Linked DNA regions of Notamacropus eugenii. The protein of the gene in region 2 purifies or fractionates together with the protein of the main gene of each other region. This does not show direct contact. Links are inferred from orthologs where the notes say so. Each region holds a gene or a part of one and is shown on either strand. Other genes may lie near its edges.

The links.
Region 1: the proteins of TSC22D4 (region 2) and NRBP2 purify together in Homo sapiens (affinity purification with mass spectrometry; 3 studies listed by BioGRID and IntAct, counting the BioPlex papers as one, with this or other methods). This does not show direct contact. The link is inferred for Notamacropus eugenii from reciprocal best matches to the Homo sapiens genes TSC22D4 and NRBP2.

What each region holds. Positions count from the first base shown.
Region 1 is NC_092875.1:85,373,199-85,389,189, reverse strand, and holds the start of NRBP2 (nuclear receptor-binding protein 2), read left to right. Parts: upstream 1-7,364; 5' UTR 7,365-7,438; coding exon 7,439-7,552; intron 7,553-9,084; coding exon 9,085-9,207; intron 9,208-9,296; coding exon 9,297-9,398; intron 9,399-9,669; coding exon 9,670-9,759; intron 9,760-9,931; coding exon 9,932-9,972; intron 9,973-10,438; coding exon 10,439-10,533; intron 10,534-10,655; coding exon 10,656-10,679; intron 10,680-10,784; coding exon 10,785-10,868; intron 10,869-11,072; coding exon 11,073-11,128; intron 11,129-11,399; coding exon 11,400-11,495; intron 11,496-15,991. UniProt on the Homo sapiens protein: May regulate apoptosis of neural progenitor cells during their differentiation.
Region 2 is NC_092873.1:80,322,606-80,339,241, forward strand, and holds the start of TSC22D4 (TSC22 domain family protein 4), read left to right. Parts: upstream 1-9,404; 5' UTR 9,405-9,968; intron 9,969-10,917; 5' UTR 10,918-11,220; coding exon 11,221-11,964; intron 11,965-14,231; coding exon 14,232-14,395; intron 14,396-16,636. Other genes in the region: NYAP1 (neuronal tyrosine-phosphorylated phosphoinositide-3-kinase adapter 1), read right to left, coding at 1-366, 998-1,344, 3,748-3,815.

The DNA.
Region 1 (15,991 bases), on a different chromosome or scaffold from region 2:
ACAGGACAAAAGAGAAGACGGAGACAAGGGCAGGGAGGGAGGATAGAGGAGAGAGCAGATAGGTCACAGGGGCAATTAGAAAGCTCGGGTTTGGGGGGGGGGAGGGGAGAAAAGGGGAGAAAATTTGTAACCCAAAATTGTGTGAAAATAAATGTTAAAAATTAATAAAAAAAAAAATTAAATGAATGGCAGAAACCATAAAACAAAAAACAAAACAAAATACAAAAGAAAATAGTCTGCTTCATTCTGTAATCCAAAAAAAAAACCAAACAACAAATATGCACCAAGTACTGTAGCATCCAAATTTTTAAAGGAAAAAGTAAATGAATTACAGGTGGAAATAGATAGCGAGATTATAATAGGGGGGACTTCAACCTTCCTTTATCAGATAAATCTAACCAAAAAAATATATAAGAAAATTGTCAAGGAGATGAATAGAATCTTAGATAAGCTAGATATGATTGACATCTGGAGAGAAATTAATGGGAATAGAAAGGAATATACTTCTCAGTAGTACATGGCATCTTTACAAAAATTGATCATATACTAAGACATAAAAGCTTTATAGTTAAGTGCAGGAAAATTGTAATATTAAGTGCATCCTTTTCAGATCATAATATAATAAAAATTACCTTTAAGAAAGGACTATGGAAACACAGATTAAAAATTGATTGGAGACTAAATAACCTAATCTTAGAAAATGAGTGGATTAAAGGATGTCATAGAAACAATAAATAATTTTATTTAAAAGAATGGTAATGAGACAACATACTAAAACTTGTGGGAAGCAGTAATCAGAAGAAAATCTATATCCCTAAATGCTTACATCAATAAAACAGAGAAAGAGATCAATGAATTGGGTATACAATTTTTAAAAACTAGAAAAATTGTAATATCTCCAACTGAACACCAAATTGGAAATCCTAAAAATTAAGGGTGGGTGTAAAAAAAACCCATTGAATTAATAAATAAAACTAGGAATTGGCTTTTATGAAAAAAACCCAAAATAGATAAACCATTGGTTAATATGATTAAAAAAGAGAGAGAAGAAAACCAAATCACTAGTATCAAAAAATGAAAAGTTGAGAATACATCACTAGTGAAGATGAAATTAAAGAAATTATTAGGATTTATTTTGCCCAATTATATGTCAATAAATTTAACAATTTAAGTGAAATAGAAGAATACTTTCAAAAGCATAAACTGCCCAGATTAACAGAAGAAGAAACAGGATATTTAAATAAACCTATTTTATTTTTTCTACCTAATCATTTTCTTTTTTTTTTAATTTTAGACTCAAACATCAGAACACAAATATAGATGAGAGCAAATAAAAAAATCATAAACTTAAATGCAAAAAAAGGGGGAAAAGCATGTCATGTATATAGCAAACATAAGAGAGGATTCATAGTATGTAATGATAAATTTTCATTTCAAGAAATCCTGTATGATAAATACTACATGTTGTGTTGGAAGTTATCCTTCTTTTCTTTTCTTCCTTGTATAAAATAAACCTATTTTAGAAAAAGAAATTGAATAGGCTATAAATGAGTTCTTAAGGAAAAAACCAAAACATCAGGACATATGTATTTACAAGAGAATTCTACCAAACATTTAAAAATCAGCTAATTCCATATTAAATAAATTATTTGGAATGATAGACAAAGGAATCCTACCAAACTCCTTTTATGAAACAAATATAATGCTGATAACTAAATCAGAAAGAGCAAAAACAGAAAAAGAAAATTATAAACCAATTTTATTAATGAATATTGATACAAAAATCCTAAATAAAATACTAGCTAGGAGACTTTAGCAATATATCCTTATGTTTCCATTGTGACCAAGTGGGATTTATACAGGATTGTAGAGTTGGCTCAATATAATTATTAACACAAATGATTGTATCAATAGTAAATCAATCGTATCAATAGCAAAAGTAATAAAAATTTCATGGTTATATCAATAAATGCAGAAAAAGCTTTTGACAAAATAAAGAATTCATTCCTATTAAAAAAACATAGGTGTAAATCTATTCTTCCTTAAATTGAGAATAAGCGTCTCAAACCATCAGCAAACATTATTAGCTAGAAGCTTTCCTGATAAGATCAGGAGTAAAACAAAGATGCCCATTGTCACTAACATCATTTAATATTATACTAGAAATAACAGTAAGAGAAGAAAAAGAAATTTCAGGAATCAGAATGGGCAATGAGGTAATAAAACTATTTCTTTTTGTAGAAGATGTGATAGTATACTTGGAAAATCTTAAAGATTCAACTAATTATGTGAGTTTATTTTATATCCTGCCACTTTGCTAAAATTATTATTTCAATTAACTCACATAAATAATCAGTATTTCTATATATTACCAATAAAGCCCTGCAAGAAGAGATAGTAAGAGATGTAAATAACCATAAACAATATAAAATAACTAGGAACATATATGCTAAGACAAACCCAGGAACTATATGAATACAATTATAAAATACTTTTATTCAAATAAAGTCAGAAAATAATTGGAGAAATATTAATTGTTCATAGGTAGGCCATGTTAATATAATAAAAATGACAATTCTATCTAAATTAATCTATTTATTCAATACTATCCCAATGAAATTACCCCTCCTTCCAATTTTTATATTGAGCTAGGGAAAATAATGAAATTCATTTGGACGAACAAAAGGTCAAGAATATCAAAGAAATTAAAAGATGTAAAGAAAATAGGTCTAGCAGTACCCAATTTTAAACTGTATTATAAGGTGTTAATTATCAAAATTATCTGGTACTAGCTAAGAAATAAAAACGTGGATCAATAGAATAGAATAGATATACAATACACAGTAGTAAATGATTGTAGTAACCTTGTGTTCGAGAAATGTAAAGATTTAAGTTTTGGGGATAAGAATTCACACGGTTAAAAAAATGCTGGGAAAACTGGAAAACTATTTGGCAGAAACTAGTATAGACCAATATCTTACACCATTTGCTAGATAAGGTCAAAATGGACATATGACGTAGACATAAAGGGAAATATCACAAGTAAATTAGAACACAGAACATATTACCTATCATATTTATGAATAGAAGAATTTACAAATAAACAAAAGATAGAGAGCATTGTGGGATGTAAAATGGATACTTTGGACTACCTTAAATTAAAAAGGGTTTGTACAAATAAAACCAATGTAGCCAAGGTTAGAAAGAAAGCAAAAATACAGGGGGAAAGTTTTATAGATAATTTCTCAAGTAAAGTTCTCATATCTTAAATATGTAGAGAACTTTGTCAAATTTATAAGAATAAGAGTCATTCCTCAACTGATAAATGGTCAAAAGATATGAACAGGCAGTTTTTGGAAGAAGAAATCAAAACTACATGTAGTCATCTGAAACAATGCTCTGTCAATATTGATTATAAAAAAATGCAAATTAGAACAAAGTTGAGATACCATCTCACACCTATCAGTACGGCTAAAATGATAGAAAGAGGAAATGACAAATTGTGGAGGGGATGGGGAAAAATTGAGATGCTAATACATTGTTGATAGAACTGTGAACTAATCCAACCATTTTAGAAAGTAATCTGGAATTACGCCCAAAGACTTGCAAAACTATGTATATATTCTCTGACTCCGCAATAACATGATTAATATTAATTAATAACACAATAACTGTTTCCTGAGATGATCAGGGAAAAAAGAAAAGAACCTATATGTTCTAAAATGGTTATAATTCTTTTTTGTGGTAGAACTGGAAATTAAAGGGATGCCCATCAATTGGGGAGTGACTAAGTAAGTTGTGATATGTGATGGAATACTATTGTGCTCTAAGAAATGATGAGTAGGTTGATTTTAGAAAAATATGGTAAGACTCGCATGAAATAATGAAGAGTGAAATGAATGGTACCAAGAGAATGTCATATATCATTAGCAATAGTGTTTGAAATTCTGAGCAAGATGAATATTCAAATCAATTACAAAGGACCTATGAAGGAAGATGATATCCACCACCAGAAAAGGTATTGTATGGTTGTGCACACACATACACATATATGTATGTATATGAGCTCACAATGTAACAAAAACTAAATTATTTTTAAAAGAGATGACTTTATTATTAGCTTGGCCTTATTTGAGGCTTCTTAAACTTTTTCCACTCGCGACCCCTTCAGTGACCCCATATGAAATTGCGACCCATAATTAAAGAAGAGAAGGCAGTTCCTCTGATAAAAGTCCATATTCTTGAGGGTCAACTAAAAGCAAACCCAGTTACTGGAGAATCATCAGTGGGGTTGCCCATGTCTTCTTAACTAGAGGTTAGGGCACAAAAAAATTATAGATCTATAGCTGGAAGGGAGTTTGTAGGCCATCCAGTTCCACTCCCTCATTTTAGAGGTAAGGAAGGAAGGCCCTGGGAGACTTAGGGACTCACCCAAGGTCACATGGGGAGTAGGAACTTCCATGGAAGGTACTCCCTTACAGCACAGGTCCACAACACATGATCTCATCAAGTTGGTTGGGGAAACTCATTAAACTGATCAGAGGTTCACCTCCCATTACAACTAGATCTCTGAACCAATGATTTCCTCTAGCCAATGACTAGTCAGGTGGACATTTTTTTGTTCTCTACCCAGATTGTTGCATTCAGGAGATAGGAACCGCTACAGTCAGGAAATGAAATTCCAGGGACACTGTCATTAATTATTGTGCCTACCACAGCAGTTAAAAACCCAAGGAACTGGGCTGATTTTGGGACATCAGGCCAGAGAGGAAAAGTCCCATCAGGTGGCCAGGTGGCAACACATGTGAAAGAAGTGACATAGAGAGGGTGAATTCACCCAGTGGTAGGGCAGGGCACTCCATCTCTCCCTCTTTCTCACTGTACGGGAGTCATAATCCTCCTCTGAAAACATAACCAGACAGCAGAGACCTGGGGAAGCAGGGCAGAGATAGTATGACTCCAGTGCTGAGCAAAGTTCACAGGGTGGGAACCAGAAAGCATCTATCTCTGGGGAGAAGACAGCTACTCACCCTAACGCCTCGGATCCCTGATGCAGTATCTTAGGAGCCACTTGGGCTCCTATTCCACCAAAAGCTTCTGGGAGAGTTTAGGGAAAATGAAATTGTGAATTTATCTATTATAGGGGGGGTTGTATGTTCTGGGAATGGAAATGGCTGACTCTATACCTGAGTGGCAGGTGATAGTTAAAAGTTTAAATACTATGTCTTTTGAAATTAGGATGTCTTTTCATAAAGGTATTCTGGAGTGTAATCAGAATGTCTTTTTCTTTTGGTTCGAAGTAGGTGAAAGATATATAAGGATATTAATGGGAAATGAAGTATGAGCTATATTTGGAGACGATCTGACTTGTGATAATTTTGTAACATATTCTGTTAATAAAAATTTTACATTTCAAATCTTAGACCAAGCTGAGGAGGTAGATGCTTCCACATCACTTCTCATCTGCTGCTAGCATTTAGGAAAATTTCCTGAACTATCTGCAGTTACAGAATCAGTCCCTTTGAAGGTATCTAACCCATCCCTTTCCATGTCATTAGATTACTAGGCTACCCCTCCTCATTAAGTGTAAAATTCTGTTGAGGGAGGGTGTAGCAGACCCCAGTTCTGACCCCTTTCTATACCAGGAGGATATAGGAACCAGAGGATGGCTCCTATTGTATGGTCACTTGTGGCTACACAATGTACCGAAAATGTACAGTTGAGAGTAGAGAAGAGACTAGGTGAGGATGAATATTTAGGTGGGAAAAAAAGAAAAGTGTGAGGACCAAATGTGGGTGACAATATCCCCCAGCTGAAATTTTTTTCTATCCTCAAATTTTTCGTCCTTTTTTGGGGTTCCTATCAAATTCTATCTTGTATCATTCCTTATTTGTGCACGTCATATCCTCCTTCCCTTATAAGTTACTTGAGAGCAGGAACTAAATTCATCAGGGTTTCCCTTATCAGTCTTGCTACATTTGTATCCTTGCGATATATAGTAGGAGGCAACTAAGTAGATACAGTAGAAAGAACTCTGGCACTGGAATCAGTCTTGGAAACTTACTACCTGTACAAGCCTGAGCAAATCACTTAATCTCTATCTGTCTCAGTTTCCTCTTTCGTAAGTAGGGAATAACAATAACAAACAGGGCAGCTTGGTAGGACAGTGGATGGAGTGCCAGGCCTGGATTCAGGAAGAGTCATCTTCCTGAGTTCAGCTAGCTATGTGATCATGGGCAAATTACTTACCATGTTTGCCTCAGTTTTCTCATATGGAAAATGAGTTGAAGAAGGAAATGGCAAACCACTCCATTATCTTTGCCAAGAAACCCCCCCATGGGGTCACGGAGAGTCTGACAAGACTAAATAACAGTAACAATACCATCTACCTCTGAAAATACAATAAAGCACCAACAACTGAAGGCTGCCGTGAGGATAAAATGGGATATTTATAAAGTACTTGGGAAACCAACCTTGAAGTGCTACATGAATGTTAGCTACTATCATCATTAGTAAATGGTTTGTTAACTTGGTTTCAGAGGTGCTCTGCTGCTCAACGATCTTTTGCTATCTTATATTGGAAAGAGCACTGAATTTGGAATCATAAGATATGGATTCAAAATCTGATGCTGCCACTTATTGCTGTGAGACCTTGGGTAACTTTGCCTGTTTGGCAAAAGATGAGTTTCCTCATCAATTCACCAATAAGTATTAATCCCCTACTATGTGCCAAGCCCTGTGTCACACAGTGGGAATACAAAGATATAAGTGAAACAGTCCCTACCTTCTGGAAGTTTACATTCCTCTGGGGGATGGGTGGGGGCACCGACATTTGGGGAGATTAGAAAAGATTTCCAGTTACGTTTCAGAAAACCCCCCTGCAAAAGGTGTGTGTGTGTGTGTGCGTGTGTGTGTGTGTGTGTGTGTGTGTGTCTGTGTGTCTGTGTCTGTGTGTGTGTGTGTGTGTGTGTGTGTCTGTGTCTGTGTCTGTGTCTGTGTGTCTGTGTGTCTGTGTGTCTGTGTGAGACTGTGTGTGTGTATACACAGAGACACCCACCAGGCACCAGGGCACACTCAGACACAAGGGTGGGGCCGCGGGCTGGGGGCTGGCCAATGGGAAGGGGCCCCAGGCCGCGACGGGGGCGGGACGAAGTGGCCTAGCCAGCCCGAGGCGGACCCCGCGGGGCGGGACCAGGAGGGCGGAGCTCCCCGGCCGCTCCCAGGCTCCCGCCTCGGCCCCGCTGCAGCTGCGGCCGGAGCGCTGCAAGAGGAGCCCACAGGGGATCCAGAGGAGGGAGGGGCGGGGCCCTGCCCGTGGCCGTGGCCGTGACCGTGACCGTGAGCGAGCAGAGCCCGCCAAGCCTCCGGACTGGCCCGCGCCGGCCCCAGCCCCGGCCCCGGCCCCCGGCCCCGCACCGCTCCCCGGGCGGCCGCAGCCATGGCGGCCCCGGAGCCGGCGCGGCGGGGCCGGGAGCGGGAGGACGAGAGTGAAGACGAGAGTGAGATCCTGGAAGAGAGTCCGTGCGGCCGCTGGCAGAAGCGCCGGGAGCAGGTGGGGCCCGGGCCCCTGGGGCTGGGAGCGGTCGCGCGGCGAGGAAACGAGTAGGACCTGGCCCAGGTTGGGAGCGAGCGCTAGAACTAAGGGGACTCGGAGTCCTGGCAAGGGGGCTGTCTGAAGGAGGGACGGGGCTCGTGGGCCCTGAGTTGTGAACGAGGACTCCGAGAAAAGGAAGACGCTAGGACCCATGGGACACGTGGGCCTTGGGCTGAGGAAGGGGTGCTGTGCTAGGGGGAGATTCTAGGACCCGAGGGGTTCGTGGGCGGGGATCATAGAGCCCTTGGTGAAAAGCAGACTGGACCTCAAGGGGCTGGGTAGGCGGGGCCCAGAGCTTTCCCGGGGCTGCGGCTTTTGGATAGGGGTCTGTAGGAACCAAGGATAGTTGGGGCACTGAGGGCGGGGTCGACGGGTAGGGGGGTAGGTAGCTGCTGTTTGCTGTGCCTTTGGGGCGGGGGTTCAAAGCGCGATGTGATGGGAGGGACCCAGCAGCAGAAGGCTGCCACCGAGGGGCTATGGGGTGGGGCCTTGAGGGGCTCGAGTGAATGGGGAGCTAGGCTTCAGGCTGCTTTGGCTCAGTGCCCAGGACTTGATCCCTCAGTCCTATACCAGCTCCTACTTGCCCCACCTCCCTTCCCCGAGCTCTGCAGGGCCCCTACTTTTTGCCTCACTCCGTTTAGAACAGGGGGAGAAGCAGACAGACACATTCTCCTAACAGAGTAGGGGGCGAGAGGGGACAGACACATTTTTTCAACATGTACAAGAAGGAATTGCTTAGTACCATCGTGGGTTAGAGTGATAAATCTCAGTAAGGCCCCTACTTTTTGCTTCATTCCCTTTAGAGCAAAGGGAGAAATGGGACAGATCTCCCAGGGAAGGGAGGAAAGAGGGGGCAGACAGAAATCTCCATTCCCCACCCCCATGCAGTGTATACAAAGAGGAAAGGCCACAATACCATGGGGGGAGGTCTGGATCTGTCACAGGCTGGGGGATTGGGAGACATATGTACAGCAGACATTCCTAGTTTGATTAATCCTCCACTCCTGCTGTTTTCCAAATCCCTGGATTCTAGGGAAGTTGATGGTTTTGGGGGTGGGGTGAAGGGAAGATGGGTACAACTTGGGGCAGAAGCCACCTTTATGACTGCATTCTCAGTGAAAGGCAGGGTCTTTTATCTAGACGGTATCTTAGGGGACCAAATGGGCCCCTGTCCCTTAGTTACTTCAGCTTTCCCTTTTGGATCAGGCGACTTCTCTGTTCCCTCCTCTCCCCTCCCCTTCCCTTCTGAGTCCAGGCTAGAGATGAGAGGAGCCTTTGTGTGACCCAAGGGGGCCAGGGAAGGGAAGGGGGAGGTGGGGCTGGCATGGGCCTGTGTCTTTGCCCTGCCTGTCCAACTCCCCTCCCCTTGGCCCTGATTCCTGACTTGACTGGCCCCCTTCATAACCACAGTTTGTGCCCCTAACCTGCCAAGCCCCTGCCTTGTACACTCCTCGCTTCTGGTACCATGAATGATCCCACTCCCTCCCCAGGTCAACCAGGGCAACATGCCAGGGATCCAGAGCACTTTCCTAGCCATGGACACAGAGGAAGGTGTAGAGGTTGTGTGGAATGAACTGCACTTCACGGACAGGAAGGCTTTCAAGGCCCATGAGGTGACCCCTCCTTCCCCCCAAATCCACTGATTGGTATCACCTGCCCCTAGTCTGTGCTTCATCTCCCCCTCAAACCTCTGGTCCCCCAGGAGAAGATCCAGACCATGTTTGAACAACTCGTGCTTGTGGACCATCCCAACATTGTCAAACTGCACAAATACTGGTTGGACACACCAGAATCCAAGGCCCGGGTGAGCCCAGTGTCCTGCCCATTACACAGCCTGCCTCTTGACCTGTTCCCTTCCCTCTCCCCCAATCCTTGAGCCACTGGGTGGGAAGGGGCAACACTAGGGACTCAGCCTAGACCAGCACCTAACTTCCTTCTGCTGCTCCTGCTCACTGAATAGGTCAGTCGTCATTAAGCTCCTCCTGTATGCCAGTCCTCACTGTCAAGGAACTCCCCAAGCCCCCTGGGAATATGAGGAGAGTACCTAGAGCTGAACCCTGGTCTTGCCCATCTAGGTCATCTTCATCACCGAGTACGTCTCCTCAGGCAGCCTCAAGCAGTTTTTGAAGAAGACAAAAAAAAACCATAAAGCCATGAATGCCCGGGTATGGGGGCTCTGGGGGAGGGGGCTGTTGGTATTGATGGTGAGGAGCTGGACTCAGATGATTTTAACTCCATCTCTGAAGACCTTCTGGTGCTTAGTGCCTGGTGGGGAATAAGCTAGCTGTTTGCCTGAAGTAGCAAAGACTTAAGCCCTCTTCTTCCCTCTGCCTGCAGGCCTGGAAACGCTGGTGTACTCAGATTTTGTCTGCTCTCAGGTGAGGTGGCCGTGGCCCTCAGCCCGCTTACTTTGTGTTTTCCTCACACTATTTTATAGCCCCATTCACCTCTCTACGTGGCTTTCAGTTGCCCATCTACTCCCTCCAATCTCTCATTTCCCTAAGTATCTAATTCCCTGTCCGACATACAAGCCATGTGACCATGGGCTAGTCACGTACCTCCCAGTGTTCCAGAAAACTCTGAAATAATGTATTATAGATGAGTTGCCGATCTGCATTGATAGAGTTTCTTCACTGGGAGTTCTTCACACCAATGAAATCATAGATTTAGAACCCCACTCGTGGAAAATGCAGACACACATGCATATCACTCACACACACACTCTCTCTCTCTCTCTCTCTCTCTCTCTCTCTCTCTCTCTCTCTCTCTCTCTCTCTCTCTCTCTTTAATACCATATCCCCTTAGCCTCTAGCTCTTTCTGAGGCTGGGTCTGTGTCTCCTCAGCTTTCTTCATTCCTGCAACCCTCCCATCATTCATGGCAACTTGACCAGTGACACTATCTTCATCCAGCACAATGGCCTAATCAAGATTGGTTCTGGTGAGGCTGCACTGGAGGACCATGGAGGGGGGAGAGCCAGAGAAGAGGAAAAGCCTACCTTTTTGCTGGCCCTGTTCCTCCCCACCACCCATTCAGATTTTTCTCTTTTTTTTCTCCCTCAGTCTGGCATAGGGTATTCTCCAATGGTGAGTTTCAGACAGGGGTGGGTGGGAATAGATGGGGGTAGATCAAGTATTTTTCTGGGGAAAGTCCTTTGGGGCCACCTCAGTCTCTCAATTTATTCCCTCCAGCAATTCCAGATGATCTCCGTAGCCCCATACGCATTGAGCGAGAGGAACAGCGAAACTTGCATTTTTTCCCCCCGGAGTATGGCCGTGAGTGACCAATGGGACCCCTGGGGCTTCTTCCAGGCCTCATTTTTCCTTACAGTTCTCCATACCCACTCCCTTGTTCTCTTACCCCTAACCTTTATTCCCTGCACCATTTTCCTCAGTCCCTGACCCTGTGATACCTTCTCCCTAAACTTCAACCCTGTGGTATACACCCTTCCTCCCCTACCCTTGCTTCCTCGATTTCAGAGGTTGCTGACGGGACAGCTGTGGACATCTTTTCATTCGGGATGTGTGCACTGGAGGTATTGGCCCCTCTCCCCTTGATCTCCCCAGCATGGCCTTCTTGCTCACATCCCACCCTGCCCATGCCCTTTCCTCCCAGCATGCCCTTTCCAGTCCATCCCTAGGATTCTCCACCCTCCTTCCTTACCCTGAGCAGAGTCCCTGGTCATTCCTTCCTCTTTTTAAACTCCCATACCTGCCCTCTTATCCTGCTTCCTGCCCCTTCCCCCATTTCTCTCTCTTACATTGATCTCACTCAGGCTCTGCCTCTGATTTCTTCCCCTTCTCAAGATGGCTGTGCTGGAGATCCAGTCCAATGGTGACACCAGGGTGACTGAAGAGGCCATCGCCCGTGCCCGACACTCTCTGAGTGACCCTAATATGCGGGTAAGCGCTGGCATCTCCTCCCATTTCCTCCTTAGCATTCTTCCCATGTTCCACCAGTCATATATCATCTCTAAATTTTATTTGGTGTCAAACATGGCTTAGCTTTTCTCTTTCTCCAGTGAAGTCTCTTTCTGGTTTCCAACATTGGAGAATGGTCACAAGAGGGTCAGTAGTCAGGGATCATAGATTTAGGTCTGGACGGAACCTTAAGGGGTATCTGGTCCAGTCCTCCCATTTTTCAGGTAAAAAAAACTATATCCCAGGGATGTTAGGTGACTTGTTTAAGGTCACACATGTGCAGTCAGGATTTGAACTCAGCCCCTCAGATTGCATTGTAACATATTCTTTTCTCTGACCCAGCAGCTCTGACTCCTCTTCACTTTCCTGCCCAGTTATGTACAGTCTCTGTGGAGTGTTCATGTGATTTATTATTTGCTGAAACGTTGCTGCATACACTTATGTTCCTGCTTTTGGTGATACTTTTTTGTATCTTTGATCACTTCAGTGGTCAAGGGCAGCCCTGTCTATAGCCTAGTCTTATTTGGGGGGTGGGAAAGGCAACTGAGATTAAGTGACTTGTCCAGGGTCACACAGCTAATAAGTACCTGAGGCTGGATTTGAACTCAGGTCCTCCTGACTCCAGATTAGAGTCAGTGCTCCATCCACTATATCACTTAGATATCCCTTGCCTAGCTTTATTTAAGAGTATCATGGCCCAAGTATTTCCTATAATGGTCATTCCCTCCCACACTTCACCTCACTATCGTTCTTTCCTGCAGTTCCTGACAAGACAAGTTAGCTCCTGCCAACCTGGAGAGGTACAGGTACCCTTTTTTACCTGGATCTCAGATTTTGTACTCAGTGTGAAATTAGTTCCTTTGTGCCCTTTTTGGGGTCCCCTTCCCAAACATAGATGCTGGAAAACAGTTATTTCCCACCTGGCCTCCAAAATCCATCATTCGTCTATCCTCAGGCCACCAATATGCATCTTGAAGACACTGCTTTCCTAGAGTTTTTTCCTCTCTTTTCCCCTTGGTTTGTGCTCTCTCCCTACTTCCTGCTTCTTTGGTCCCAGCTTGCCTCTCTAAAAGTCCTTTTCTATTTCTTAAAGTTGGCTGTGATTCATGAGGGTGGTCAGTCTTCACCTTTCATTCTGGGGAACCATCCCAATGCAGTCTGCCCAGAATCCATGAACAAGATCACAGCTTCCATTGTGACCCATTTTCTTTTTACTTTGATAGCTCTTAAGTAGGTAAGAAATGATCCCTTCCCTTCTTACAAAGTATTACCCTTCACAACAACCTTATCAAGGCTGTAATGCAAATGTTACTCTCCTTGTTTTTTGATGTGGTGCAAAGGTCAAATACCTTGTCATTGGTCCCACAGCTATTAAGTGTCAGAGCTGGGATTTGAACCCAGGTTTCCTGACTCCTCAATCCAGCGCCTTTTTCTTCTAGGTTACCTTGATTGAAATATATAGCTCTACTTATTTCCCTAGGTGTGAACTGATGACCTCATTGTCCCAAGTGACTTTTTATACTGCTGCCTTGTTACACTGCCATCATTCCTTGAGCAGTGACTTACTAAGCACTTGTTATGTTACAAGGTTGGAGTGCTGAACGCTAAGAATCCAAGGATAAATAATGATGTCTTACCTAGCCTTAATGAGCTTAAGACCCTAAGATTTTTTTCAGATGAACTGTATTTTCTGATTATGCCTTCCCCTGCCTTATATTTATCAAGTTGATTTTTTTTAACCCAGGTGTAGAACTTGAGGTTTATATCTATTAAATTTCATCTTTTTAGATTTGACTCCTTTTTCTTTTAAGAACTTTTTGGATGGTAAGTATGTGATCCTGTGTTGGTTGGCCCTACCAGCCTTCATCATCTGCAAATCTAAGTCATTGATCAAATTGTTAACTTGTCAAGGACAAGTCCCTGAGTCACTTCTTCAAGTTGACAATCAATGAAACAATCAATAAGCATTTCTTAAGTGCCAGGTACTGTGCTCCAATGTGGTAATACCAAGACAAAAAAATGAAATTGTCTCTGTCCTCAAAGAGCTTACCTTCTATTGGGTGAGACAACATATCCAGCATAGCCATACAAATTAATTAAAGATGTTGAGCACTAGCTGATGAGGTGGCTTCAGGCATGAGACACAGCCAATTCGAAGGTCCAGAGACAGAAAAGCATGTCACCTGGGAGGAACAGCCATCATGACAGTTCAGTTGGACTAAAACATATAATATGTAAGTAGCCTAGAAAGGGAAGTTGGAGCCCGGTTGTGAAGGGTTTTAAATGTCAAATGGAAAAACTTAATCCTTGAGTCTAGAGGTAATAGGGAGCCACTGAATTTACTGAACAGGAGAATGGTATCGTCCAACCGGTGCTTTTGGAATATCAATATGGCAGCTGTGTAGAGGATGGATTAGAAAAGGGAAACACCTGGAGCAGGGAGACCAATTGGGAGGCTACTGCAGTAGTCCAAGTAAGAATCGACAAGGGCATGATTTAGCTGATATAGCCTTGTGAGAAGAGAGAAGGGGATAGATGTAGATGATGTTGGGGAGGGAGACTTGACAAGACTTAGAACTTACATTTATGTGCGCGTGTGAATGTATACATATATATATGTGTGTGTACGTATGTGTGTCTGATGGAGAGGAAGGAAGGGAGACAGCCAATTAGTGAGTAATCGTTAGGGCGGGTCACCCAAGGGGTTCTGAATCTACCTGCCCTTACTATCTTCCGTCTCCATTTGTTTGTCATGGCCAAAAGGAAACCATGAGACACTTGGTTAAGGATGGCGTTTTGTAAATAGAAATAACAAGGATATAAGCTAAGGTTTGCCCATCCCCCTCATGGTTCTGTAACTGTTTTAGTGCTTTTTTTCTCTTTGGCACCATCTTTTTGGTACATGGGATGCCATGTAGGGGCTGCCAGAATGTGCAGGCCTATTTCCACTTCTGGCATCTCTGGCAAAGTTTGGCATCTCTTTTCCTCATTCTCCCATGTCTCCCTTTTTGTTCTTAAATAGATATTTTAGGGGTTTTTTCTGTTACATTTTCCATTGTGTCCCTCCCCCACTCATTCCCAGAGAACTGTCTCTTGTGAGAAAGGGTCAAAAAAGAAACAAAAGTTCCATGACACTAACCAGCATCCCAGAGAAGTCTGACATTCAGTGCAGATTCAAAGGTAGAAGAGGGGTTGGGGACAAGGTATCTGCTCATGTCTTCCTTGGTGCCAGGCTTGGTCGTTAGAGTTTTTGGACATTCCATTTTGATTGTTTTGCTGTTCTTTCCATTTACATTGTTGCAGTCATTGTGTATATTGTTTCCTGGTTCTGCTTACTTGCATCAGCTGATCCAAGTCTTTCCATACTTCTATACATTTATCCTGTTCATCATTTCTTACAGGCAGATAGGTAACATAGATTGGGATTTCATACTGGACTTGAAGTCAGGAAGACCAGAGTTTGAATCCTTCCTTAGTGAATCTGGACAATCCCTTAACTCTCCCCAGCCTTAGTTTCTTCATCTTTGAAATGGGGGTAACAATAACATCCACTTCAAAGGGTTATTTAAGGACCAAATGAGATAACATAGGTAGGGCATTTTGCAAACTTTCAAATCACTCTATAAATGCAGGTTATTATTATTATTGTAACCCAGTAATATTCTAGTACTTTCATGAGTCATGTGCCATTTTCCAGTTGATGGGTGTCTGCTTTGTTCCCAGTATTTTGACCCCTTCCCGTGGGGTCTTTGTTGTATGCAGAAGTGAATGCCTTTTGTGCATGGGTCCCTAGGATTGCCTCCTGAATGAGATGGGAAGATCTTACCTATGAGCCAAGAAGTAAGAACTCCTAGAGCATTAACTTAAAGCTGGAGCCCCCCCTTGATTTCCCATTTCTCCAGCCCTTTTATAAAAAAAGTACTGTCCTCACGACAGCCCCACAAAAGAAGACTGTACAGGTATCAGTACTATTCAGATTCAGAGAGAAGTAATTTGCCCTTGGCCACATGGTAAGTGCTAGAGCTGGGATTTGCACCCAGATTTCCTAATTGTATCTGGACACTGTTGCCTCTAGCACCTTAGAATTCTTTATTACATGTTAAGCCCAGGGAGTACAGGGGTGAACAACCATTTTATAGAGGAGGAAGCCAAAGCTCCAGTGATGAGAACCATGGCTACCATTTATAGAGCACTTGGAGAGGTTGCAAAACTTCTTCCATGCCTTTCATCTGAGCCTCTTAGAGATTCTCCTTATTTTACAAATGAGGAGACTGAGGCTCAGGATTAAATACTTGTTTGTGGCCACCCTGATAATAAATGCCAAAAGTGTATTGGTCAGAACCAAGGTCTTCCTCTCTCCAACTCACCATTCTGTCTCCCCTACCATGATATCTCCTCCACCTGACTCAGGTTACGTAATTGTTCAAATCTGGGCCTCTGACTCCAAATCATAGGCTGTTTCCACTATGCTACAGGGT
Region 2 (16,636 bases):
ATATGGCCTCACTCTCCTCAGAGTCCGAGTCTGGGCCAGTAGGGGGGCCTGTGCCCCCTCCTCCAACAGAGGCAACTGCTGGGCCTCCGCTACTTCTTCCACCACTCCCTCCGCCTCCCTGGAAGACATCTCCCACCATTTCGATGTAGACAGGTTCTTCATCCTGTGAGCTCAAATCATGTTCACCTCCCGCCCGCCCCCCTCGGCTGTATCGCTGCAGGGCTAGGGCCCCAACCCGAGAAGTGGGAGCCACCGAGCAGGACTCATCAAAGGAGACAGAGAGCTGGGTGTTGGGACTGCGCTTTGGCTTCTGAGGAGGGATTTTCCGGCTAGACTCACGGCCTTCAGGAGCTGGTTTCTGAGAACCTGACAAAGTCCCAGAAAGAAAAGGCAGAGACTGAAATAAGACTGACATAGAAGAGTCATTAAGACATTCTAAAGGCCATCTCCTTTCAAGAGGCACTCTGCTCCTTTCTCCCCCTCCCGTCTCCCCTAACCCAGAGCTCTAGTCAGTCAGTTTTCTGTCAGTCTTGTTTATGAACACCAGGAAGCCTACAGTTTTTGAATTCACTCCCACAATTCATCTCCTGACCCTTAAAATGGACTTCTAGGATAGATTCTTCTTTCCATAGAAATAGCTCAAATCCATTCAGTGAAAAGAGTTATGTCCTTGGAGTCAGAGGACCTGCCTTCAAATCCTTCCTCTAATACTGACTGCTTGTGTGACATTGGGCAAATAATTTAACCTTTCAGAACCTCAGTTTCCTCATCTGTTAAGTCAGGACAGTGGACCAGATGGCCTCTGAGGTTTCTTCCAGCTCTATAACCTAAGATCCTACAACCACCCAGAATGGAATCTCTTGTTCATTCTAAAAATGAAACCTTCCACTTCCCCCTGGTGCCAAAATGGATACTCTCAAACTCAAAATGGACCTTTGTTCCTGTGGAAAATCCTTGCTGAATTAAGGGAATATCATGGGGGAAAAGAGGATTGTACCTGCTTTCTTGCTGGGAGGTGCCTCAGCCCCACTTGCAGCCATGCTGAGTTTGGTGCTGGGGTGTCTCCGGGGCTTCACAGGTGGCCTCCGGGCTCCAACATCTCCCCCAACTCCACCGCTCCCCCCACCACCAGTAGTGCCCCCACTACTCTCCATGCTCCCCACTGAATGGCAGGAGAGGGAGCGGGGAGCCATGGCACTACGGCAGGGGTGAGGAGCATGCTCCTGGGAAGCAGGCATGGTCATGAAGCCCATCCTGAGGGAGCGTCGAAGCGAAGAGACGTCTCGTGCTCGAACCCCGGGCCCTGGCCCTGAAGGACCTGCAGGTCCCACTTCCTTACTTGCACTGAGGGAAGGGATAGGTAAAAGAAAAAGAAGCAGAGAAAAATGAGAGAGGCAAAGGCAGTCATCAGGTCAGGCAGGGCTTCCCCTAAAGCTACCTCGTCACCTCCTGGTGTGTTATGGTATGGTGTGTGGGTGTGGGTATGCTGCAGGCAGCAGGTGAGGAATGAGGATTAATACAGAGATCCATGGGAAAGGACACTAAAAATAAAACAGAAAGCAGTGGTCAGAGGGGGAAGCTTCAAGGCCTCGGTCTTGGGGATTAAAAAGACAGAAGAAAAGGATAAATGGATAAAAGTTTTGAGGGTACAAGCTAGGAGGACAATAAGCCCCTCAGTCTATTTGGGCCCCCATATTTCAAACAGTATCTGCACGAAATGCTTTGTGTATAATTTGGAGAGCTGCACGGATTTGATGTCAAGCACATTCCTCATAGAGGAAAGCCTGAGTGGCACCCGCAGATGCAGAATCAGCCCCTAAGGTTTCACATCTGGCCCCTGGCCTCACTCCATGCTGGAGATATGCACACATTTCTGATGGCTTACTTTTCCACTATGTTTCCAACTACTTCAGTCATCCTTAGCCTGCCTTCCTCGCCCCCCTCCTTTATGATTCTCCTTCCTCTAGCTCTCCTTTCTTTCCTTCTGTCATTCTTTTGCCTTACTCTCTTTCCTGATTCCACAATTTATCCCTCACCCTCCCCTCTCATTCACAGCCTCTGTGCTTCTGTGCGAAAGAACAGAGGGGGGGAGAACTGTAGGGGATGTGTGTGGAAACTGGAGGGTTGCTGTGGGGTGGGATCTCTGATTAGGGCCCTGTCTACTAACCCTTCATTAAGGGGAGATCTCTGCAGTGATAGCTCTGATTAATCTAATTAACAACATTAATTAAATCCCACAGTAAGGAGGGGGAGGAGGGGTAATGGGGAGGTGGATCTGACTCAGGCTTCTCCAGACAGTATAGCCACGAGGGGGAAAGTGAAGGAAGTCAAGGGGTGGGGAAATGAGGAAGGAAAGCTCTGAGAGGGAGATTGGGGTAAGGAGAGAGGGAGAGAGACAGGGAGAGATAGACAGACAGAGAGAGAAACCTATAGTAGGAGGCAAAGGATAGGATGAGTACAGATCTTAGTGTAGTCTGAAGGGATCTAATATAGTCCTTCAAGAAATTTTGCCTTTACATGACTAATGTGAAAATTGTTTAATAGGAATGCATGTGTAGAACCTATATAAGATCACATGCCATCGGGGAGGGAGAGTGGAGGAAGGGGGAGAAAATCTGGAACTCATGGAAGTGCTTGCTGAAAAGTGAAAACAAATAAATTAATAAATTTTGGGGGAAAAATTGCCCCCCAAAAAATCTTGTCTCCGTTATTTAGTACCTGTGTGAACCTGGACAAATATCTTAACCTCTCTGGTCTTCAGTTACCTCATCTATCAAATAAAGGAGTTGGACTGAATGGGTTTTAGGGTCCTTCCAACTCTAGATCTATGAACCAACTCATAACGACACATTCTGCTCACCTCCAGATAAGCAAGGTGATGCACTCAGAGTGAAGACTGAAGCATATTTTTTTCTTTTTTTGGACATGGCTAATGTGAGAATTTCTTTTGCTGACTATACGTGTTTGCAATGGGTTTTATTTTTCTGGCTTTCTCGATCAGGCAGGGGAGGAGGAGGTAGGAAGGACAGAATTCAGAACAGAAAATAAAATAAAATTGAATTGTAAAAACATTTAAATAAATCCATGATCCTAAGTTAGTTTTCACTAGTCTAGAGGCAACGATGGTCTCTCATCTTCCATTTCTTCTACCTTGCACCTCTTTCCTCAACTTTTCCCAGATTAAGAAGATGGGAAAGGAATAAAAAAGCTCCCTCATTCATCCAACTCCCTCCTTGGACCCTGGGAGGTAAGAGAGCTGTTTGCCTCTGCACCTTTATTGTTGGACTTGTACTATCTGAGGTCAGGTGACAAAGAACAGAAAAGGCAGCCCCAAGTAGGATGGGGGTAGGGAAGAAGAAGCTAGGGAAATGAGAATGGAATTTATGCTAAAGGTATTTGGGGACGGTAGAAGAGGGTTAGTAGGGATATGGCATTTGGGGATGGTAGAAGCTGGGGTGAACAAAAGAAACCATCTTACATGAGGGGTAAGGGAAAATTAAATCAGGAAGGAATACTTTGGACAGAAAAGTAGGATCCTGAGGACCAAAGAAAAAGCTTAGAACTTAAATACACAGAGAGCTGGGATCATGCTTATTATGTGATTCTCTTTAGGGCCTGTAGAACAATTGCTGTTCATGATTAAATGAGAGAGAAAAGTGAGGTAGAGGAGAGTTGACAACATCCAAGTTGACACTAAGTAAGAAAAGCAAATGAAGACAGAGTATTAGGATCATTTTATGGTCTTACCTCCTTTTCGCCTCCTCCTCCTTGTGCTGTCTCCACTCCAGCTTGGTTTTTCGGTAGAGCAGGTTCATGTCGTAGGGCAAGAAGGAGGAGATGTGGGGCTCTGCTCAGCACCACCAGGCCTGGGGGGGCCCCCTCCCTGGGTCCTGGATCAACTTGGTTGGGGAAAAAAATAATAGTAGTAGTGGTGGTGGTATGGGGTGGTTGTAGGAGTACAAGTAGTAATAGAGACCTAGCAGAAGAAATTCAAACCATGTAGGCATAGGATGAACATGTCATCCTCTGTCATCCTCCTGCATGCTCTTGGAAGGTGCTTTCAGTGAGTCTAGGAAGATGAATTTATATCCCAATATTCTTATTCAATTTCAAAAAGTAGTCATTTTATCAATCTGGACAACAATCCGCAGAACATGAGATATATAAGAATAATAACAGGATAGCAACTTGCTCTTGGTCCAGTTCTATCTGAACCCATCAAAAAAGATGAGAGTAAGTTAATGCAATCGTAACTGACATATAATAGTGCCTTAAGATATGCAAATCACTTTACATATGTAATAATACTAGCTTACATTATATAGCACTTACAGGATGGCAAAGTGCATTACATTAATCTCATTTTATCCTCACGACCTCCCTATGAGGAAGCTGGGACAAACAGAGGTTAAGTGACTTAAGGGTCACAGTTAAGATGAAAAAGAAATTTTTTTAAAAAATATGAGAAGATACCAGGAATAAAAAGGATAGAGGACATGACTTGGGCCCACAAAAAAAAGAAACAAAACAAAAACAGATTACAGATAGGTATCGAAAAATACCTCAGATCCCCAAGTGTGCAGAAACACATACTGACAAAATACAAGCATATTCTATACAGACTACATATACAATATATACACTGTGTATAAGACAGGCCTAGATAATACAGAATACACTACAGGGCCAGACACATTGATGAACATGGATACATGGACGTATACACAGGTAAACAGATCTAGAGACAGATGCACCCACAGACATAAACACCCACAGACACACCCACAGACTAGAGACACACACAAACACACAGACATCCACATTAATCAGATACCCAGAATTAGACAGGCTGAAACAGAAGAGTTAATGCTTGGTGCCTTATTGGTGTAGGTTTACAACCATTTTTTTTATGGGGGGTGGGGGAGGCTCAGTCAAGTTCCCAGCATCTGGGAGGAGGGAAGGGGGACTGAGTCAGGCAACAATCACTCTTCTTAACCCAAGACTGTAGTCCAGCACCTGACTGCCTAATGAATCACCCCTGCCCCCACCCGTACCCCAAACACACACAAACACACACATACACATACACACTCCCCTTCCTCCCAGCATTTAGGCTAGGGCCTGGCCCTGCTCCGTCTCCTTGTCATATCCCTCTATCACCTCCTTGGCATCAAGTCCCCTGCCTCCCCAAGCCCTGGCTCCAGTCTCCTTCCACCCTCTTGGATCTGGGGATGCGGACAAGCCCTTCTCCATCAGTCCCAAGTGTTGGCTCACCCCCGAAGCATCAGTGGGAGAGGGTGGGGGTCGCGGGGGGGTGGTTGCAGGTTGAGTCCCTGGCTCCAGAGATCTCCCACTCAGTGCCCACCCTCTTACCTAGCCTGGCACTTGCCCCATCCCTCCCCATCCCCGTTCTCCTTGCTCATCCTGGGGCCTCTTCCTCCTGCATCCCTACATCTCCCCGGATTCTCTGGACCTGGCCTGCCCCATCTCCCGGCCCCGTGGTTCCCGTGCCCTCCTCCACCTCTCCCCTCGTCCGGATCCCCTGCGCCTCTCAGCTCCCCTTCCTCCACCCAACACCCCTCCCTGCCCAGCCAAGTCCCCCCAGTTTCCCCATTGCCCCCGTACCTGGCCTGCCAGGCGCCGGCCCCCCCATGCCGGGCGGAGCCCGGAGCAGGAGGAGGAGGAGGGAGGAAGGGAGAGAGAGACAGAGAGATCAGGGGGAGCGGAGCTCGGGCCTGCCGCAGAGACAGCCCCGCCTCCAGGCCCGCCCCCAGACCCGCCCCTCCACGCGGGCCGGGGCAGCGGCGGGAGCTGGGGCGCTGAAGGGAGACTGAGGCGTGGAGGCGCGGGCCGCGAGTGGATGGGCAAGGGTGAGCGGGGCGGAGAAGCCCGGAGACGGCGAGGGGCCGGCCCCGGCGCCGGGGCCTTCGAGCGGCCGCTTGTCTTCAGGGCTTCGCTTGACCCGCTCCTCCGCCGACCCGGGAACCTAAGTTTGTGGCCCCAGCCGCGACCACCTCGGGCTGCGTGCGGCTCGGGCGCCCCGGTGCGCCTTGGCGCGGGGGGCCCCCTGGTGGCCGCGTGCGGACCTGCAGCCGCCGGCCCAGCCCTCTTCACTCCTTGTCTATTTCACAGCCCCCTCCAGCCCGGGAGCCGCCAGGAATGTGTGCTGGCCCTGCCAGGGAGGGGAAGCTTACTGAGGGGATCCCCGGCCCCCCTTGGCTCCTCTGTGAAGCAAGGGGCTTGGACAAGGTGTTCTCAAGGCCCTTTCCGGCCCTAACATCTTGCGGTTTGGAGTTGGGGATCTTGCAAGTTTCAGGGCTCCCCCCAAGGCAGGCCAGCCGGGGGTGGGGCGCTGTAGTTAGATGGAGAGACCAGTAGGGGTAAGCAGGCTTCTTTTCTGAGAGACAAAAGAGACCGGCCCAAGACAGACAGATGGCTGTACGAATAGACAAACACACCTCTCCAGCAGGAGGGGCTGTTCGCCTTCTAGGTCTCCTGAAGAGGAGAAGGCTGGGGGGAGCTGGCTTCATCCTTAACCCATCGACTTTCCTTTCCTGCTGTACCTGGCGTCCTAAAAACCTGGACCTTGCTTCTCCGTAACCCTCGGCACCCCGGAATAGCACGAGCTCTCATCCTAGGACTCGTGCAAGGATTACTTTGGGGGGCAAGTCAGTGGTCCCTGATCATGTTAATTACCGCCACTGATCGCAGCACTTAGCGTCTGTCTCTATGAAGTAAATTCCAAAACCGTGAAGACCTATCCACCTCCCCAATCCCTACCCTCACCCACCTCCTAGAAATCTGAGATCCCACAATTGGTGATTTATTCTTTTGCCTTTAGGTCTTAACTTCTGTTAAAATACCCTTAGGCACAGTGAAGTTCCTAGAGAGGAGAGAAAGCATATCTATCTCTTCCCTCTCAGCAGAGAGGTGAGATTTCTAGGACAGAGTATTGTATATATTCTCAGGTAAAGTTTCCGTATCAGTTTTCCCTTCATTGTTTTTCTTTGTCACAAGGGAGGGTGTAGTGGGGGTGGGGAGGGAGGGAATAATGATGATGCAAAGACCAAGTGATCAATAAAATGAGTTCTCAAAATAATCATGAAATAAAACATGCCTGGAAGATATAACACTATTGTAATAGAATATAAGCCCTTTGAGGACAGGAACTGTTGTGTTTTTCATCTTTGTTTCCTCAACGCCTAGAACTGGGCACTTTAGTAAATAAATATTTGTTGAATTGGATGAGTTTGTAAACTGAAAACAGTTTTTTGGGGGAAAATAAAGGGAAGATAGTGATGGGGGGGGCAGAGAACCCCAGGGTTTAAAGCGATAGTTTTCTTACTTGGCTATTGTTTCTAGGACTAGTTACAATCATAATTATCCAAAAGCATTTCCTGAAAAAATTTGGATTTATTTGAATTTATGCCTTTATATTGAGATGGGTGCTTAAATACTGTGACTGCATGCAGGGAATACTGTGGGTGTGGTACTGGAAGAGCACTGTGCCAAAGAGAGGGGTAATTGACACTATGAGAGGCATATAACAGTTATTCTAGGAAGTATAGAGTAGGATCTGTGGGGGCCTTGCTTCCAGGGCCTTACAGGAGAAGGGAAGGAAACAAGCCACAGTCCAGATTTCTTTTAGCAAACAGAAACACACATACATATATGGACACATACATGTATGTGTGTATGTATGCATATAAATATAATACATGTCAGTTGCATCTTACACTTTGTGACTGACCCTATTGGGGATTTTCCTGGCAAAGATACTGGAGTGTTTGTCATTTCCTTCACCTGCTCCTTTTGCAGATGAGGAACTGAGGGAAATAGGGTTAAGTGACTTGCCCAGGGTCATGTAGCTAATAAGTTTCTGAGGCCAAATTTGAACTCAGGAAGAAGTCTTCCTGACTTCAGGCCCAGAGTTCTATCTACTGTGCTACCTAGCTGCCCACATCTATATGATGCAGTATTTTGTGTGTGTATACACATGTGCATATGTACATATACACATATGCATCTATGTATATATATACAATATTAGAAATGCTGTCAAGAATTTGAAGGGGAGAGTTCACTGGATCATGTCTATTAAACCGAAAGGAATCTTAGAGCTTATTGAGACCAACCCCCTCATTTTACAGTTGAAGAAACTGAGGTCCAGAGAGGTGAAGTGATTTGCCCAAGGTTGTATGGCTAATAAGTATATGAGGTAGGTATCAAGGATCTTTCTTGATAAGATTTGTCTAGGGAGGACTGGAAGTCACTCCAAAGATCAGTCAATCAAGATTTATTAAGTGCCTTGTTAAGCCTTAGGAATACAAAAAGAGGCAAAAAATATTCTCTTGAAAATATTCAAGGAGTTCACAATTTAATGGGGGAGAACAACCTCCCCCCGGAAAGAGGGGATAGTAACTTCCCTTGAACTCAGGAAAGTGAAAGGATACTTAAAACTACTATCCTCTGAATGTTTTGAGGGGGAGGAAGGGGAGAGGAGAGCGGGGAGTATAGTATAGAAATTACAAAGTATGCTTTGGGACATTTTTGCTGTCCAAAAGTGGAACAGGCTGTTTTACTTGTTGTGTGACCATGGCCAAGTGACTTAAACTTCTTGAGCCCTAGTTTCCTTATCTGTAAAATGGAAATAATAACCTGTAAAGCCTATCTCACAGATGTCATGAGAATGCTTTTGCAAACCTTGAAGTCATATATAAAAGCTAACAATGATTATAGAGTAGCTTTAAATGGCAATGAATTTGTTAGAATGGAAGTTCTCCATGAGGCATGATGGGACCTTGACCTCTGAGGTCCTTTCAGATTCTGAGAACCTAGAAATCTATGAAATCTCTTTATGCTAAATGGCCTGTCCTTGAATTTCTTTGGGAGAAGCAAGGTGGTAGGGTCGTAAAATGAGAAAATAGGAATTTGGATTCTTTCTAAGAGGAGTTGTGTGTGTATCTCTGTGCACAGATATTTATGTGTATGTATACATATGTATATATATGTATGTATGTATGAGTATCTGTGAGGGCATCTGTGAATCTTTGTTTACCTGTTCATATTTCTACAAATGTGCTGAGTCCAAAGATATATATATACACATACATACATACATATATATAATACATACGTGTGTGTATGAATAAATATCCTCTGTGTCAGTTCACGTATATGGACATTTATCCGTGTCCCCGTGTAACTGCAAGGGAATTGATCTTTCTTCCAACCCAATCTTGACTCCCTAAAGTACTGGGAAGAGCCTACCTCACCAGGCAGGTGTGGGGTTAAGAGGACCCCAGTGTTTGGGGCCCCCTCTATGAGCCACAGTAGTTCTGGAGTAGGGCCAGCTGGCAGAGAGCCCCTAGAGGAGGGCGGGCAGGCGGGAGAGAGTGAGAGAGAGGAAGAAGGGAAGGAGGAGGAGTAGAACAGCAGTCAGCAGGGCTGAGGAGGCAGGACTTCCTGGTGTGGGGGTTGTCAACAGCTCAGAGAGAGAGAGACAGACAGACAGAGACAGAGAGGAGCTAGGGAAATTGAGAAAAAGAGACAAGAGTCCAAGAGAGAAGAGCTGGAGACAAGAGAGAGACACATGCTCGATGAGAGAGACAGAGAGACAGAAAGAGAGAGAGAGAGAGCGCGCGAGCGCGCTCCACTGTCAGAAGGGAAAAGATTCCAGAGAGAGTAGCCCTCGGCTTCTCTCCGACCAGCTGTGCTTTCAGACCTAAAGGCCCTTCACCACCATAAAGGCCATATTCCTCTGGGACTGAAAGCAGTGCTTATTATTTTTTGGAAAACAAAGTTGCTGTGGAGATGACTTGTGGGTCAAGGAAAGGCCTCTACGGACTGTACTGCCTGTGACCACCACCCACCTCCTCCCTTTTCTTGGAGCTTAGGCTGGGAGGCCCCACTCTCCTGCTCTCCTGTGGACAGTCTGTTGGGGCATCTTATGCTGCCAGGATCCCCAGGTCAGGTTTCTCGAGTTGCTCTGGGGAAATTTAGAGGTGGGATTGTAGGGGGGTGTGTGTGGTGTGTGTGTGTGTGTGTGTGTGTGTGTGTGTTTGTAGGGGTGTGTGTGTGTGTGTGTGTGTGTGTGTGTGTGTGTGAATTTAGAGGTGGGATTGTAGGGTGTGTGTGTGTGTGTGTGTGTGTGTGTGTGTGAATTTAGGGGTGGGATTGTAGGGGTGTGTGTGTGTGTGTAGGGGGGTGTGTGTGTGTGTGCGTGTGAATTTAGAGGTGGGATTGTAGGTGTGTGTGTGTGTGTGTGTGTGTGTGTGTGTGTGTGAATTTAGGGGTGGGATTGTAGGGGTGTGTGTGTGTGTGTTTGTAGGGGTGTGTGTGTGTGTGTGTGTGTGTGTGTGTGTGTGTGTGTGTGTGTGTGTGAATTTAGGGGTGGGATTGTAGGGGGGTGTGTGTGCGCACGCATGTGCCCAGTTGGGGTAGCCGAGGATTAAGGAGAAGTTTTAGCACCCCATAGATTCTGAAATGGGTGCTAGTAGCACTGAAGGGAAGCTCTCCTCTCCCCTCCACCCCAAGGTAGACTAGGGTGTGAAAGCCCATGCCAGACCAGAGCTGTGAAGTGGTGAGCTCACCTCCCTTTCCTGTAGACCCAGATTCCTTGCTACATCTCGAACTTGGGACTTGGCTTGTCTCTTTCTGCACAGTACCAATAATAACCCATGTAATCTGTTTGTTTTGTCTTTACTTCCTCCAGCTCCTTGTCTCTACCTCATTCTGTTTCCCATTCTTTTTTTTTCTTCTACCTCTTGTGGTTCCTCTATCTCTCTCTGGTGGTTTCCCTCGTTTCTCCCCCACCCTGATCTCCACTGCTCTCCCCACAGAGGAAGCACCCAGAGTGTCTTACTCCCATAACACCTACTCCCTCCCCCAGTGACTCTCTAATTTTTTTCCTCCTAGTTTGCAAGTTCAGCTCTGGAGTCCAACAGCGGCAGCAGCAGCAGCAGCAGCAGCAGCAGCACTGGCAGCAGCAGCCAAAGGAAAGCCTGCCCATCCTCCAACTCCCACAACTTCTCTCCCTGCTATTCCTCAATTTCAGAGGCGGCCCCAGTTCCTTGAACTCTCCCAGCTATGTTGGACCCCGATGTTGCCAGGGGCCCTGATCCCACAGCTATATGGCCTCCTAGTGCCAGGGGCGCCTGAGCGCTGCCTGGAGAGAGGCCTCTCCTCTTCGTGCAGCTCCTGTCCCATTTCCGAGGGACCATGAGCGGGGGTAAGAAGAAGAGTAGTTTCCAGATCACCAGTGTCACCACAGACTATGAAGGTCCTGGGGGATCTGGGGGAAGTGACTCCCCTACAGCTATGGTTCCCACCTTACCCACACCTCGTCTTCCCAATGGCGAGCCTAGCTCAGAGCCGGGAGGCAAAGGGACCCCTCGAAATGGCTCTCCACCTCCCGGGGCCCCAGCGTCACGTTTCCGGGTAGTGAAACTTCCCCAAGGACTGGGGGAACCATATCGCCGAGGGCGCTGGACATGTGTGGACATTTATGAGAGGGACTTGGAAGCCCCAGGACTCAGCCGGCTCCTGGAGGGAGTTCGGGGAGCCACTGGAGGGACTGGTGGTCGCTCTTTGGATTCTAGGCTAGAGTTGTCCAGTTTGGGCCTGGTTCCCCCAAGCCCCCAACCTCAAGGCCCAACCAACTGGCTGCGTCCACCCCCAACTTCCCCTGGCCTTCAAGCCCGATCTTTCACTGGGGGACTAGCTCAGCTGGCAGGGGGCAAGGGGAGGGCTGAAACACCACCTCTTCCAGCTTCCCCACCCCAGCAGCACCCCCCGGAGCCCAGCGATGGGGACAGTACAGGGGTACTGGTACCACATGCCTCAACCCAGGTGCCCACCCTTAGGGTAGAGGCCGAGGTGGGGGCCCCAGCAGTGACTCCTCCAACCACCCGAAAGAAGGATGGAGCCTTTTGGCTGAGGAAAGAGGGGGAGGAACGAGGCCAGGTAAGAGGCAAGGGTGGGAGGGGTGCACGAAAAGGGGGTCTCTCTGCAACTTAATTTTCTTCCTTGGACTTGTGTTAGTCTCATGCCTTGTCCCAGTTCCTTCCTGGACTTCAGGTTCCCCTTTATATCTATTCTGTCCTCCTCAGTTTTTCTTTTTTTGTACCTCAACTCTCCCATCCTTATATTTGACTCTTCCAGTCCCTAATACTTCTCTATGAACCTGAATTTCCATCCCTTCTCTCAATTCCATTTCTCCCTCTTTTGCTCTCTTCCCCTTCTCTTAAGTTTCTTTCTCACTTTTATTTCAGTGTTGTGTATCTCTTTTGTCCCTCCGTATCTTTCTGTTTCTCCATCTGTTCTTCTGAATTATATAGTTTTCTCTGGACAAAAGTTTCAGAAATGGAGGAGACTGATTGATAACACTAGGCTCTGTAGGGGAGGGTGTGAAGGATCTGACCATGGAGTTGACTGAAAAGAACGCTTTTGAGGGGTACTTGTGGGGGAGACACAGCTTCCTTCACTCAGCTATCCTGTGGTTTCCATGCCCTTCTGGCTTCTTCTATCTGTGGTAAAGTTAGGCCATTTCTGTTCTCCCGGTTCCAGGACCCTTCCCCTCAAGCCTCAGACCAAGGCTTGGAATCTCTAGAACTGGAAAGGAGGGTATTTTCAGGGGCTTGCAGTACCCCAGGCATAGCTTCCAGATCTCTTTCCACCCCTGCCCTAGCCTCCAAAGATTATGATAGTTTTGGAGGGGGTGGAACAAAGGGGAAGAGGGCTAGAGGAGCAAGGTGAGAAAAGTAAAATTGTGTATGTTTTTTTCCATTTCCAAAAGAGGAACAGGTCAGTTTGGAGGATAGGATGCCTGGGTCCCTAGAGGACCCTGTTGGAGGTCAGGGGCTAGGACACTTGAATCTCTGGTTAGGGAGCAGGGCTGAGGAGGCAGGACAACTCAAGACCTTGGAGAAAGGGAGGTTTGTGGGAAAATGAAGATGAGGCCTTTTTCCCCCTTCCAGGCCCCTGAGTACAAACCACTGTATAAAAATAACCTGAGACTGAATGTCTGGGCCCTGCCAGGACTGGCCAGGACTGGCTTACCTTCTTCCCTCCCCCCCCCCCCCCCCCCCCCCCGCAACCCCCCACAGCCACACGTACACAGGTCTTTCACCACCACTACCACCCCTTACTTTCTTTCAGTTGGTTCACTCATCTACCCAGTTCTGGGGGTTGAGGCTCTATTTCTACTCTTTAATCCCTTTCCCCCAGACTCTGTCTCTTTCCAATGCCCCTAGCCTCTGTCTCTGCCACTTAAAGCCTTCCTGGCTCAGAGTTTTCCACTATGTTGAGTCTTTGCCTCTCTTCTCCCCTTCCCTCTCCTTCCATAATTCCCCAATCCTTGTTTATTTAAAACAACCTTCTGGTCTCTTTCTTTCAGTAGATATATCTTTGCGTCTTTCTCTTTTACCAACCTCTTTCCCCATACCTTTGAGGTGGGGGGGTGGAGAGAGGGAAGATGGAGAGCAGACAGAAAGGACCTAGAGGCCCCCACGTCTCTGCCCTGTCCTTCTGGCAGTCCCTGGATTCTCTGTTCTTAAGTTTTCCTAGAAGCAAGGGCCTCCTGGGGCCTCACAGAAGGAGGTTTGTTTCTTGACCCCCCCCACCCTCCTCCCCTCCCCTCCCCTGTTGCATCCACCCTCTACAGCTCCACACCCATTCTCCACCTCCTCCCAACCTCCCAGTAACAGCGGTAAAAAAAGGAAGCAGAACACCTGGGTGTTGAGGCTGGAGCAGTGGTTTAGTGGGGATGGGAACTGGGAGGACACTATCCTGTGGACCAGCTATGGAAACTTGGGGGAGCTGTACGTAGGAAATGATATAGGCAACCTTCCCCCTTCCCCTCCCCATAACTGTATTTCTGCCTAGATTTCTCTGACAACTAGTTGTTGCTGAGTTCATGCTGGGTATTCTGTCTTTGATGAGGTGAAGGTGATGAAGCTGGTACAGATACAAAAGCCTCTTTTAGCCACTGCCCTCCCACCCCCATCCAAACTGGGGCTATGTGAACTGAGCACTTCAGGGCCTTGTGACCACAGAACACATCCCATGGGTCACTTAGGCATTACTTGTGACCACAGGTCACTTGGGTCATAGGGAGAAAGGTGGGCTAGAGCAGAAGAGAGGTAAGGTGGGAGAACCAAAAGACTAGGTATGATTTAGAAACGTGTGTGTGTGTGTGTGTGTGTGTGTGTTGTGTGTTTTTCTCTTTCTAGCTCCCTCTCCGAGGCTCCCGCCCTGGCTCTCCAGCCCTCTCCCTCCTTCAGGATACCAATCCCAACCGGAAATCCTCAGACCCCTTTGGAGCCTCTGCTCAGCGCCTGAATCTGGCTCGATCTATGCTTGCCATTGGTGGCTCCCTTGACGGTGATGATGACAGGTAGGAGGGACTTCCTTTTGAATTGGCTTGATAGAGGGCCTTTTTTTTTTTTTTAAAGAACTGGGACATATGAATTAAACTTTATATACATATATATATATTTTTTTTTTGCTGGGGGGGGCTGTTGGGGTAGGGGGAAGGAAGAGGGAACACAGTTTCCTGTTTTGAAGGGACTGGGGGTGGGAGGGTGGTTTGTATCTGAAAAACATGACCTGAACAAGCCCATCCTCAGCCTCAGTGAAAGAAGTCGGTGGGAAGATGACTTGGGTCTGAAAAGCGTGAAATAAGGGAACAAACCCCTCCTTACCCTCAGAAAAAGAGGTGACTTGTGACTGAAAGCATGAACTAACTGAATAAGTCCGCCCTCACCTTCAGTGAAGTGGGTGGGTGGGTCATTCTGGTTTGGTGGAAGCAACTCTTTATTCTGACCTGGAAACCTCTTGTCAAGTCGGGGAAGAGGCCAGGGAGTCACATTAGATTCTCTCTGCCACCAGGAAGAGAAGTGGGGCATCCTGCCTTAGCTTCCTGGACCCAGGGAGTACCCAGTCAGTCCTGGTGCTTAGGGAAAACTTTGATTGTGGTCTCATCCCCTGGCCATAGTGGACAGATCCCTTCTTCATGGTCATGCTGTGGGGGAGGATTGTTGACATGTAGATAGATGGGCCGGACTTCCTTTAGGGGAGAATGGCCTGTGTAGAGGCAGGAAGGAGGGCAAAACTTCCTGTTTCAGGGGCCAGATTTCAACATTTGAGTGTCAGCAACCCCTAACGGGAGGGAGCTACTGGGCAGCTTGAGTTCTGTCTGTGGATGGATTGGGGCAAGGTAGAAAAAATAGGGAGTTGACACTTTTTATTTCATTAGGTAGATGGAGTGGGAATTCCTATTTTAGTGCTATTTTAGGGAGTAGGATTTACTCATTTGGAAGGTGATAAGGAATTGGATTTCCAGAGCCAATTAAGTTAGTAGGTACTAGGAAGAGTGAAGTGTTTCCAGTAGGATTCCTATGGACCACACCCTTCTCTTTAGGTTTCATCTTCTTTCCAGCCTTAGGGAAAAGCCCTAGGGAAGGAAGATTGTGGAGGGGATAATTGAGTAGAGGAATGGTAGATAAATAAAATAAGCTTGGTCTGTGGAAAGGATCATAAGATGTGGGACAGAGAGATGTGAGGAGAGAGGAAGGGAGGGGAGAAAGGGCCTGCCAGGCAAGGCTGAACAGAGCAGCTGTGGGTTCAGGAATGTATGAGGTGTGAGGCCTGACACCACATGGCAAGTCACTTGCACCTATCAGGGTGACTCCTGTTGCTTCCCACCCCCTCCTTTTTGGCAGGCTCCCTGGCAAGAATAAGCCTCTCTCACAAGCTCTCTGCTGTGCTCTGCGCTCCTCTCTGACCTTCAGTTCCTTAGACTCAGATCGTCTTTACATTTCTGTCTCTGTCTTTCCATCTGTCTGTCTCCTTTTCAGCTTCTGCAGTCCATAATCTTTCATGGAGTTCCATTCTCTCAGCTCTTTCCTTCCCACTCCCTCCACCCTAGTCTGACTGGTTGGTTTTCCCAGTCTCAGCTTCATCCAGTTCTGCTCTGGGGCCCTGGCCCTGCCTGGCTTCTTTTGCCCCGCCTTCCTGGGCCAGCTGGTTTTGGTTGAGTCCCCCTGGCTCAGGAATGGGGTGTGTGGGCCTCACCCCACCTCTTTATGCTTGGGAAGAGCTGGGGGACACACTGCCCGAGTCCTTCCTAAAAGGAAAACTTGGACCAGAGAGCCAGGGTGATTGGGTAAGGTAATGGTAAGGTGGGAGGGAGAGCTGGGTTAGAGAGAGCCTGGGTCCTTTGTGGGGGAGCTGGGCTTGACATGGTTAAGGTGGAGACTGAAGGGGCTGGACCTGTGATTGGGAAAAGGGATCGGAGCCCAGGAGGCAGGATGCCTAGGCCTAAGAGGGGATGAGGACATAGGAGTTCCTAGTTTTCCTTTGCTCTCCAGTGTAGAGGCAAGAACACCCTTTTTTTCCTAGTCAGGGCAAGGAACCAGATCTTTGCCCTCCCTTTGCCTTGCACCACCCTGAAGGCAGCATAGATGCGGGAGAGGAGAGAGGGTTGGATCCCAGTTGGCTGGCAAAAGGCCCAGACCCTGGGGGCTGCTCAGAACACTGAGTGGGGAGGAGGCCTGCTATCTCTCCCCTCTTTCTGCTTCCGATTGTCCCTAGTATCAGCTCTCCTTGGCCCGCCTTCCCCCTCCTTGCCTCTCCA